3 linked regions of the Kluyveromyces lactis genome follow. The protein of the gene in region 3 purifies or fractionates together with the protein of the main gene of each other region. This does not show direct contact. Links are inferred from orthologs where the notes say so. Each region holds a gene or a part of one and is shown on either strand. Other genes may lie near its edges. The genes, in order: PSE1, ULP1 and KAP95.

Region 1 (4,276 bases), on a different chromosome or scaffold from region 3:
ACTGGATCAGCATCTGAGCTAGAAGTTCCTTCTTTATCTATAAATTATTTTTGGAAATCTTTTGATGCCTCTGATAATGAAAGTGCTTCTTCTAGTCAATTATCTTTGGTAGATTTAACACAAACAATAGGTAACTTTAGCTCCCACAAACAGTTACAACAATCGCAACTTCATTTGCAACAACAACATCAACAATATCCTTCACAATCACAGCAACCGATCCCAGAACAGTTTTCTGGAAGAAGAAGCTCCACATTATTACAAAAAAAATTCTTCGAAAATGGAAAACATACCAAATTCCGATTGAAAGTTACCGTCGTGAAGCCTAATAAGGATAATCAAGTTCTAGGCTCTATGAAATTCAAGACTCAGTCCGGAGTAAACTTTGAAAAAGACGTCTTAAATGAGATTGTAGCCAAAGTGAAAGAAACTTATGGAATCGAATCACCGTACTCCATTGAGTACATGGATATCGAGATAAAAACTAATGAAAAATTGCATCAAATTTATGACGAGTTCATTGTTATGCAGGGCTCCCGTCACTATATGCCTTTGCTTTTTATTCTGCATGATAAGCAGTCAGGTGTTTTCCACCACCTACGTCAGTTTTTTAAAACGATGGCAACTCCATTCACCGCAGTGTTTCATACTTCCTCATTGAAGATATACATGCAGGCATGTATAGTCTTCTTCGCTGGTTTTATGGTGGGAAAAGCTTTAAAATGAAACATTCGGGGAAGTTACTGGTTATCCTTGCCATATACCGATGTATATAGATTATACATTTCCACTCATAATTCTTTCTTATTAAATGAATAAACAATTGGCTGCCAAGAAAAAAGAAAAGAAGCACTAGAACATCTATCAGAAATACAAAGCAAATATGGAAATATATTCACATCAATTAACCGTTTCCTTCTTCTGCTATATTAAGAACACTGTCCAATGACAGATGACGACGATCTTGATATTACAGAGAGCACCACTATGTGTTACCCGCATATCACTATGGACGATGCACTATTAGTTTGACCTGCCAAATTTTTCTTCCTTCTCTGTTCCTGTGATTCCAAATTATACATGAAAGAACAATTCGTTCTAAGATCAGATATTTCAGATATATTGAAAATTGAATAGTAGTACATTTTATGTTACAGTTACTGGTTTTTGCTGAAGTTTTAGCATTGAACATAAGTTCGCCTTCGTTGCAATCAGTATATTTTGACGGTAGGAAAATTGAGCTTGTAAGCAATAATCTCTATTGAGGGAGAGAATCGAAAAGCTGATAGCAGTATAGTTTACTTTGTTTGTTCTTTGTTCTTCTACTATCCTTTTCCTTTGAATCATTTTTTGTGGTGGCTGATTCGAAACAATGTCAGTTCTACCGGATGAAGTGAACAGCACCTTGGTGAAGTTGCTACAGGGCTTTGCATCACCAGACAATGCGATTCGTTCGGCGGCAGAAGATGCTTTGAATAACAACTGGATTACACCGGAGCACATCGAAGTTTTGTTGATGTTTCTAGCGGAACAATCTGCATATTCTGATGATTTGACTACTGCAGGTTTGTCTGCAGTTTTGTTCCGTAAGCTAGCTTTGAGAGCGCCACCTTCATCTAAGACTATAATCATTGCCAAAAATATTACCCATATTTCGAAGGAAGCCTTGAAGCAAATTAGAGATACACTTTTGAAGGGTTTTATCTCCCAAAGACCCAACAATATTAGACACAAATTATCTGATGCAATTGCAGAATGTGCGTTAGAAGAATTACCTGAGTGGCCTCCGTTACTCCAAACGTTATTCGAAGCTATCAAAAACACAGATCCAAATTTCAGAGAATCTAGTTTCAGAATTTTCTCAAGTATGCCTCATCTAATCAATTCCATTGACATCAACCATGCTTTGCCTATCTTTGAGAGTGGATTCACGGATCCTAGCGATGAAGTCAAGATTGCAGCTGTTACAGCGTTTGTTGGGTACTTCAAACAGCTTCCAAAGAATAACTGGGCCAAACTAGGTGTTCTATTACCAAGTCTTTTGAACAGTTTGCCAAAGTTTTTGGATGACAGTAAAGATGAGGCCTTGGCCGCCGTATTCGAATCATTGATCGAATTAGTTGAGTTGGCTCCTAAACTCTTCAAAGATATGTTCGATCAAATTATCCAATTTGCAGATATGGTCATCAAGAATAAAGATTTAGAACCGAGTGCCAGAACGACTGCTTTGGAGTTGTTAACTGTCTTCAGTGAATGCGCCCCTCAGATGTGTAAAAATAATCAAAATTACGCCCAATCAGTGGTACTTGATACCCTTGTCATGATGACTGAAGTTTCCATCGATGATGACCAAGCAATCGAATGGCAAAATTCGAATGATGTAGAAGAAGATAATGAGGAAAATACCTACGATATGGCACGTCAAGCTTTGGATCGTGTTGCCTTGAAATTAAACGGAAAATACTTGGCCGCACCTTTATTCCAATTCTTACAACAAATGATCACATCTTCTGAATGGAGAGAGAGGTTCGCAGCATTGATGGCGTTATCATCTGCTGCAGAAGGTTGCCGTGATGTATTAATGATCGAGATAGATAAGATTTTGGAAATGGTTGTTCCACTGATCGATGATCCACATCCAAGAGTTCAATACGGTTGCTGTAATGTATTGGGTCAGATATCCACTGATTTCGCTCCTCTCATTCAAAGCACTTCGCATGAAAAAATTTTGCCTGCTTTAATCTCTAAGCTCACTTCAAGCTCTGTCGACAGAGTTCAGACCCATGCAGCGGCTGCCTTGGTGAACTTCTCCGAACAAGCTACGCAATCGATTATGGAACCTTACTTGGATAGTCTTTTAACTAACTTATTAAGCATGTTGCAAAGTTCCAAGCTGTACGTTCAAGAACAGGCCTTAACTACTATCGCATTTATCGCAGAAGCAGCCGAAAAGAAATTCATCAAATACTATGATACATTAATGCCATTATTGATAAACGTGTTGAGAACCGATACAGGTACTGAAAGCAGAGTCTTGAAGGGTAAGTGTATGGAATGTTCTACTCTTATTGCATTAGCTGTGGGCAAAGAAAAGTTTGCCTCCTACTCTCAAGAATTGATCCAGTTATTCATAACTTATCAAAATGAAGGTATTCAGGACGACGATCCTCTAAAGACTTACCTTGAACAAAGTTGGAGTAGAGTTTGCAGGATTCTTCGTGAGGATTTTGTTCCGTTATTGGATGTAGTTATTCCGCCACTACTTGAAACTGCCAAGGCTACCCAGGACGTTAGTTTAATTGAAGAAGAGGAAGCTGCAAACTACCAACAGTATACAGATTGGGATGTTGTGCAAATTCAAGGTAAGCACATCGCTATTCATACTTCAGTTTTAGATGATAAAGTGACTGCTATGGAGCTTCTACAAGTTTACGCCACTGTGTTGAAAAGTTTCTTTGCATCATACGTTAAGGAAATCCTTACAGAAGTTGCCGTCCCATCTATTGATTTCTACTTACATGATGGTGTTAGAGCTCGTGGTGCTACTTTAATTCCTGCTTTGTTTACCTCTTTGGTATCGGCTGTAGGACAGGACAACGATATCGTTTTACAATTATGGCAAATTGCATCTAATAAGCTAATTTCTGGAATTATTTCTGAACCGATGCCAGAAGTTACTAAGTCGTATCACTATGCTCTTGTTGATTGTTTGGGAATTGTCGGAAACAACGGATTAAATCAAGAGCAATTGTCACAATTTACACAAGGTGTGAACAATAACTTAACCGACGTCTACGAAAGAACAAAATCCCGTTACGATCAGGATGACGAATACAACGAAGATGTTGATGACGATCTTGATGAGTATACCGATGAAGATTTGCTTGACGAGATTAACAAATCTTTAGCTGCTGTTTTCAAATCAGCAGGTGTTTCTTATCTACAGCAGTTCCAGACTTTATGGCCAATAATACATTCATACTTGCAGGAGACTGAGGTATTCATTTTATTGTTCGCCTTGATTGCAATTGCTGATATGATAGAATACACTGGCGATAACTCTGCACCTTTCAAACAGCATTTCGTTCAGAAAATTAAGGAGTGCCTCACATTCCCTGAACCCTCCATTCGCCAGGGTACTGCATACCTACTCGGAGTATGTGCACAATATGCCCCCAACACCTACTCTGACATATGTTTGGGATCGTTGGAAACTTTATTCCAAATCGTCAACATGCCAGAATCCAGATCTGAAGATAACGTTAATTCCTCGGAA
Region 2 (3,577 bases), on a different chromosome or scaffold from region 3:
CGATATTTGCCTCCATTTCGTACCATATTTCTTGACCTTCGCTATAAGTAGAAGATCTTCCGTCTCATCCCAAGGTCGTAGTCGGTCTTTAGTACTGGGATCAAGCACTTCGATGTACCTCTTCGCGCATTGGTCTTCAGTTCTATTCTCTAAAACGTAGGAAATCTTAAACCATTGCGGACCATGGTGTTCATATGATTTTAAGAGAAGCTCATCCTCCTCTGGTGTCCATTTACCTTTCTTCAATACAGGATCTAAAGAACTAGTCCATCTCTTTTTCACATCCGTCGCTTTCTTATTATCCAATTCGAATTGCTTGGCAAGCTGATCCCAGGGAATTTTTTTGACAACATTACTAGATTGCTGAATTGTTTTAATAGATTTGATACCATCCGGATATCCCAAATTTACTAACGATTCGTTAACCAATTTTCTAAGCAGATCATCTTCTTCTTTGGTCCATATTTTCCTCATCTTTCTTCTAAACGTTTGATACCCTAAAGATTCTGAAACCTCAAGAGCATTGACTGGTTCCTTCTTAACTCTCTTCCTCAAATTGCTCATATGCTCCTCTGACATATCACCCGAATCGTCACTCACACTGCTAGCTACAGTTCCTTTCTCACTCGACGATTCATTCATATTCCAGTCAAAATAGATACTTGATCCAAGATACTGATTTCTTGATAGAAAAGTCAAAAAATTAGACTGAAATCAAGTTTATTAATTAACACCAATTTTACTACTTCTCAACCAATGTTTTTGAGATTGTTCAAAACTTTATAGCAAGTGTATCTCGATATTTCCGTTATGACTGTTAGTACAATCAATAGATGACGATAACGATAAACTTCTTTTTGTTTCTGTTAATGATATTTTGGGTTGAAAACCAAGTTGTAATTTAATACAGCTCTGAAACTGTCTACACAGCCTTGTATCTGCTGTGATATAGGCGCTGTATTCACCGTTTTCACTTCGCTTGATAGATACCCTGAGAGATACTCTACATAGTTATGATGTCAAATTTGAGTAATCTTAGTCTGGCAAATTTCTTTATTTTCTTTTTCAGGCAGAAGGGCCCTGGCAGAAATTTTGTGCACGTGATAGTATCCGGGTAATGTTTAAATAAGTATACATTTCTCAACATGGATTGCATCTCTGTCGAAAAGCTGCTTTCAATTATCAACAATAATAACTTCAGGAACGAAGAAACGAGGTAATATATGGTAACTTACAGGCTACATGGCAGCTGAAATACTAGTTTTGAGTGTTAGTTTAATTATTGTAACCGAATCATTTGTTAAATTCTAACTTTCACCACTTATATGAAACTGGCGTAGAAATAATGACGGTATCGTATCATCGAAAAGGGTTTGATGACATTAGTGATTATTCCAGATCAACGGTGATAACTGCAGATGTCTCTTCTAAACCATACTATTTCGACCGGAAAGGTATCAAAGATAGTTTAAATTCTGGTAATGAAGCACGTGATAGAGGTAGCGAAAGTAGGTGGAAATCGTTGGGATATAATACTGTCCTTTCAACTCTTTTTGATTCAGCAAAGACATGGTTTTCCTGGATTGATCCTTTGGAGCAAGAAAATGGGAAAGATCGTACCATTTCCAACACTACTGGAGCAAATTACGACAGTTTGAAAAGAGGAGTTGATGAGGAGTCGACTCCGAGAAAGAAAATTCATTTAGACTCACTGCTCCAAGAGAAGGAGCATTTAAGGGAACAGTTACAACATTCAATTACTCCAACGAAAGAAGTGTTGAAGTTACCTAAGGATCCTTTCCATTGGGATAATACTAATGAAGAAAACTATACAGAATCCTCACCTACAAGAGTACAATATGGAACTAGACTCTATAGAAAACTCAAGCATAAGAACCAGCAACAGCAGTCCACTGCATTAATTGCTAAACCGTCCGATGAAGTATCATATTTAAAAAATTTATTCAACGGAGAATATCATGTACCGATTGAGATGCAAAAGGAAAGGGAAAATCAGCTCAAACTTCTTTCAAGAGATAACAGCCACAGCAGCAATGCCAGTACAAACAGTAGTAATAACAACATTGTAAGGCTTACAGAAAGGATTAAGGCTTTAATTTTGGAAAACAGGAAATCAATAGGCCCAAGTACCGAAAGAGGATCTACAACTGATGACATAGTCATAATAAGAGAGCACAAGCTTGATCCATTAGAAGAGAAAAGGAAACAGATCTACAATCAGACGTTGAAATTTGATCGTTCTCTCCTTACTTTTGAAGAAGAGTTCAAAAGCTATTCTCAGTTGATTGAAGAAAGAAGGAAACTAGTAGAGCAAGTGAGGAAAACCGCCAAACCACAAAAACTGATACCTGATCTATCAACTGAAGATTTATCGGAAGTGAAAGCAACTTTCAATAGGTCTGATAACGCTGTTCTTTCATCCAAGTATATGTTGGAAGTAACTGTGCGAGATTTCAAGACATTAGCCCCTAGAAGGTGGTTGAATGACACAATCATTGAGTTTTTCATGAAGTATATCGAACAAAACACTGCCAAAACTGTTGCATTTAACTCATTTTTTTATTCTACTTTAGCTGACAGAGGCTATCAAGGTGTAAGAAGATGGATGAAAAGAAAGAAGGTTGATATTTTAGATCTTAATAAGATCTTCGTTCCTATCAATTTGAATGATTCTCATTGGACATTGGGTATAATAGAAATGAAGCAACACAAAATTTATTATCTTGATTCTCTTTCTTCTGGAATGAATTCGGTCAGTTTCCTAATTATGAAAAATCTCCAGTCTTATGTGATGGAAGAAAGCAAACAAAAGCTTGGTGAGGATTTCGAACTTTGCCATATTGCTTGTCCACAGCAGCCAAACGGATTTGACTGCGGCATATATGTTTGTCTGAATACACTTTATATGAGCAAGGATTACACTTTGAGCTTTGATTCTAAAGATGCAGCAAACATGAGAAATTACATAGGTCATTTAATATTAAGTAAATAGAATTAAACTCTTTTCGTTGACGAATACTAAAATTTGCTATTCTTACCACTTGTTTCAGACTATTTCAAACGTTGAAATGAAATCATCTTGTAGACTTCGCAACTCTTCAATGTCAATTGTTTTTTCATGATTACAAAACGCTTTGAGTTTTTGTACTAAATAATAAACCTGTTTGATTTGGGTAGTTTGACATGCATTATCACAAGAATCTTCCTTTGCAATGATTTTCAAACCTTTTCTTTTGCTAGCTCGAAGTAATTCCGATATTTTGTATGCTTCCAACATAATTCTTTCACTGAAAATTCGTTTACAAATCATCATACCGTATCCTTCTATCTCTTCTGATTCTGTGGAGGCTTTATATTTCATTTTGAGATGTGATTCCTGATCAATCTCAGTTTTCATCTCAAGATGTAAAACACGAGGCTTTGGTGCCAATATTTTAGGAATATCTCTGAAATGTGTCGATAGAAATACAGTAGCATTTTTGGAAAGGAGATATTCCGATATAGCCAAAGCTATAGAGAACCCATCTGCGATGCTTGAGCCACGTCCTAATTCATC
Region 3 (4,117 bases):
TTACACATGGTACTAAACGAAGGATTTGTGAAAGACAAGTGTTAGTTCAATACGTCAGATATCGACACTCACTCAAAACACAATGGTTTCTCAATTATTCGAAGAAAAGGTATGTGGAATCGTTGTTGCAATGGCTTTTGATTTCCCTTAATAATCATACTAACCGCATCTTACATTTATCTGCAGGCTAAAGCTGTCAATGAATTGCCATCAACTCCAAATAACGATGAATTGTTGAAATTGTATGCTCTATACAAGCAAGCAACCGTCGGTGACAACACCAAGGAAAAACCAGGCATGTTCAACTTGAAGGACCGTTACAAGTGGGACGCCTGGGAATTGTTGAAGGGCACTTCCCAAGAAGATGCCGAACAACAGTACATCGAATTGGTTGACCAATTGATCAAGAAATACGCCCCATAGAGCTGGATGGTCTCGCAAGTTATTGCATCATCTAACTAACTATCTATATCTACATATATATTATCCTTGATCCATATAGCTAATGATAATACCCTTATTACTCGGTTTGAAACACGAATTACAAGTCACGTGAACAAGCTAACGCCAACTATTTACCCGGCTATTTGCAGTTGAGTGGCAAAAAATTCTTTCTTCCCTAGCAGTATATAAGTTACCCTCCGTTAAACAGGAGCACGATCCCTATTTTTCTCTTCATTTATGGGGTTCATACATTGTTTTCTAGGCAATATATCCGGGTAACAGACTCTTTTACTTTCCATCTGATTCCACTCCAAATCGTAGCACAAACGCGCTTTACAAGATGCTACACAGCTTTTTCTTATTTTTTGCTTATTCCCAAGCTTCAAAGAATTTCTTTCCTTCACATCTATTTATCAAACAAAAACAACTAGAAAACATTTCGTAAACAAAAGAACTTAGGATCCAAGAAACAGGGAAACATTTCACTTTGTATCCTTGCGTTTAGGTGTCTTGTGCAAGGGAGAACGGTTCGTGAGACACTTGATCGAGAGTTCATACTCAGAAACTCGTTAGTAGGCGCCGAATAATTACAGAATAAAGGAAGATCTAACGTCGCTATTCGATATACTGATACTTTTATAAAGTGAACCAAGTGTGAAAATTTATTATTTGCCGTTTGCTGTTGCAGTTCCTTGTTTTATTTCTATAATTTTGGAGACTGACTATTGAAACGACCCGCTAGGATTTGGAAACACTAGTAAGTTATAATACCCTTTACAAATCGTTATGTCAGCTTCCGAGGTTGCCCAGTTTTTGGAAAACATTATCATTACTCCGGACCCAACGGTCCGTCTTCAAGCGGAGACGACGTTGAAGAAATTATCTAACGATAATTTCTTGCAATTCGCTGGACTTTTGTCTCAGATCTTGGCCGATGTGTCCGTTCGTCTTGAAGCTAGAATTCTAGCAGGTTTGACGTTGAAGAACGAATTGATTTCGAAGAACCCAACAAAGGCCCAGCAGTTTGCTCAACGTTGGTCTACGCAAGTCGATGCAGAGTCTAGACATCATATTAAGCAGTTTGCGTTACAAGCGTTGGTTGATCCAGAGACTCGTGTTGCCAACGCTTCAGCTCAGTTGATCGCTGCCATTGCAGAGATCGAATTGCCATTGAATCAATGGCCAGAGTTGATGAAGATTATGGTAGATAATACCGCTCAAGAACAACCAGAAAATGTTAAGAGAGCTTCCTTGTTGACATTGGGTTATATCTGTGAAAGTGCAGACCAAAGTGATGAAACTTTAATCAATCAATCGAACAACATTTTGATCGCTATCGTTCAAGGTGCACAGTCGAACGAAACTTCTAAGATTGTCAGACTTACCGCGCTTAATGCATTGGCTGACTCGCTTGCATTCATTAAGAATAATATGGAACGTGAGGGTGAAAGAAATTACTTGATGCAAGTCGTATGTGAAGCTACCCAGGCTTCGGATGAAGATATTCAAGCGGCCGCATTTGGTTGTCTTTGTAAAATCATGTCACTATACTATTTCTACATGAAACCTTACATGGAACAAGCTCTATTCGCTTTGACCGTGGCTACTATACAATCATCCAATGAAAAGGTGGCAGCAATGGCCGTTGAATTTTGGTCTACCATCTGTGAAGAAGAAATTGATATTGCTTTTGAACTGTCACAGTACTCCAACCCAGGCTTGGAATCTTACAATTTTGCTCTAGTATCCATCCAAGAAGTGGTGCCAACTCTATTACAGCTTTTAACAAAGCAAAATGAAGATCCGGATGATGATGATTGGAACGTGGCAATGTCTGCTGGTGCTTGTTTGCAACTATTCGCTCAAAACTGTGGTAACTACGTAGTAGAACCTGTCTTGCACTTCGTTGAACAGAACATCACCAGTGACAATTGGAGACAACGCGAAGCGGCTGTGATGGCTTTTGGTTCTATATTGGACGGTCCTGACAAAACTCAATTGACTAGTTTAGTCCATCAAGCGTTACCACCTATCCTCAACCTAATAACGGATCCAGTTTTGCAAGTGAAGGAAACAGTAGCATGGTGCATCGGCAGAATTGCAGACTCAGTCGTTGCTGCTATAGATCCTCAAGACCATCTTTCTGATGTTGTAAACGCTTGTTTGATCGGGTTAAAAGACCATCCAAAAGTGGCTACCAATTGTTCTTGGACGATTATCAACCTTGTCGAACAATTAGCTGATACCCCTTCTTCTCCGATATACAATTATTATCCAGTTCTTGTTAGCGCATTGCTTGAAGCTTCAAACAGGTCAGACAATGAATATAATGCTAGAGCATCTGTATTTTCTGCTTTGACTACTTTAGTAGAGTTCGCTAATGACCAAGTCGGGGAAACTACTACCTCAATTTCCACTTTTGTTTTGGATAAACTTGGACAAACAATGCAAGTGGATGAAGCTCAATTAACAGCTGAAGATAGACAAAACTTACATGAATTACAATCGAACATTTTATCTGTTTTGGCTGCAGTGATTAGAAAGAACCCACAATCTGTTAATCCAGTAGCAGATATGTTGATGGATCTATTTATGAAACTTTTGAGCAAGAATGATACAACATACGTGGAAGATGATGTCTTTTACGCTATTTCTGCTCTAGCATCTGCGTTGGGTAAAAACTTTGAAAAGTATTTGGAAAGTTTCTCCCCATATTTGGTTAATGCGTTAAATCAAGTACAGTCCCAAGTTTCTATCACTGCCGTCAATCTAATTGCTGATATCTCTAACTCTTTAGAGGATGACTTCAAGAAATTCGCTCCATCGTTCATGAGTGTTCTTGGGCAAATGCTTTCTTCTCCAGATGCGAAGAAGGAATTACAACCTGCAGTCCTTTCTGTTTTTGGTGATATTGCCACCAACATTGGATCAGATTTTATACAGTATTTGTCCCAAGTTATGTCCGTGTGCGTCATGGCTCAAAACTATAAACCGAATTATAGCTCTTCTGATGCCCTCGATTATCAATATAAATTATACGAATCAATATTGGACGCATACGTAGGAATAATAACAGGGCTACACGACCAACCAGATGCATTGTTTCCTTACACAGGTTCAATTTTCCAATTTATCAACTTATTGGCTGATAATCCAAGTGTTGCATTAGAAGATTCAATTGCAAGAACAGCAGTCGGTATAGTGGGTGATATTGCTGCCATGTACCCAGACGGAAGGCTCCAACAATTCTATACACAACCATGGATGATTAAGTTTGTAAAGGACGTGAAAACCAATCAATCCTTTTCTCAAAACACTAGAGATACAGCAAGGTGGGCAAGAGAACAACAAAAGTTGCAATCTAACTTGTGATTCTTTTCATTCGCTCTTGTTTGCCTGCCTACTATTAATAACAATACACTGACTTCCACAGACAACTCACTTGCATAATTCACTGCCTTTGACAGTTTATTCACTCCAACCACTGTTCATTGGATCTATGGACGCCAGTTCCCTCATCCTTTTTAATATAAAGAAGTCGACCAGTTCAAATTTCCTTTGATCCACTACTATCATTCTCATTACTCCTACTACTCTTATTCCCTACTCTTCTACTACTTACTACTCTCTTTTATTCTCACTATTGCACTACTTATTATTCTACCCTTGTATT

What was found.
Region 1: the proteins of KAP95 (region 3) and PSE1 purify together in Saccharomyces cerevisiae (affinity purification with mass spectrometry; 4 studies listed by BioGRID, with this or other methods). This does not show direct contact. The link is inferred for Kluyveromyces lactis from reciprocal best matches to the Saccharomyces cerevisiae genes KAP95 and PSE1.
Region 2: the proteins of KAP95 (region 3) and ULP1 purify together in Saccharomyces cerevisiae (affinity purification with mass spectrometry; 6 studies listed by BioGRID, with this or other methods). This does not show direct contact. The link is inferred for Kluyveromyces lactis from reciprocal best matches to the Saccharomyces cerevisiae genes KAP95 and ULP1.

What each region holds. Positions count from the first base shown.
Region 1 is NC_006039.1:1,223,499-1,227,774, reverse strand, and holds the start of PSE1 (importin PSE1), read left to right. Parts: upstream 1-1,372; coding exon 1,373-4,276. Other genes in the region: KLLA0_C14190g (CBS domain-containing protein), read left to right, coding at 1-726. UniProt on the Saccharomyces cerevisiae protein: Functions in nuclear protein import as nuclear transport receptor. Serves as receptor for classical and arginine/glycine-rich nuclear localization signals (cNLS and rg-NLS) in cargo substrates.
Region 2 is NC_006042.1:1,013,147-1,016,723, forward strand, and holds ULP1 (SUMO protease ULP1), read left to right. Parts: upstream 1-1,345; coding exon 1,346-3,013; downstream 3,014-3,577. Other genes in the region: KLLA0_F10978g (uncharacterized protein), read right to left, coding at 1-642; MutS family protein MSH4, read right to left, coding at 3,068-3,577. UniProt on the Saccharomyces cerevisiae protein: Protease that catalyzes two essential functions in the SUMO pathway: processing of full-length SMT3 to its mature form and deconjugation of SMT3 from targeted proteins. Has an essential role in the G2/M phase of the cell cycle.
Region 3 is NC_006038.1:508,937-513,053, forward strand, and holds KAP95 (karyopherin beta), read left to right. Parts: upstream 1-1,230; coding exon 1,231-3,816; downstream 3,817-4,117. Other genes in the region: long-chain fatty acid transporter ACB1, read left to right, coding at 83-109, 187-423. UniProt on the Saccharomyces cerevisiae protein: Importin beta subunit that functions in nuclear protein import through association with the importin alpha subunit, which binds to the classical nuclear localization signal (cNLS) in cargo substrates.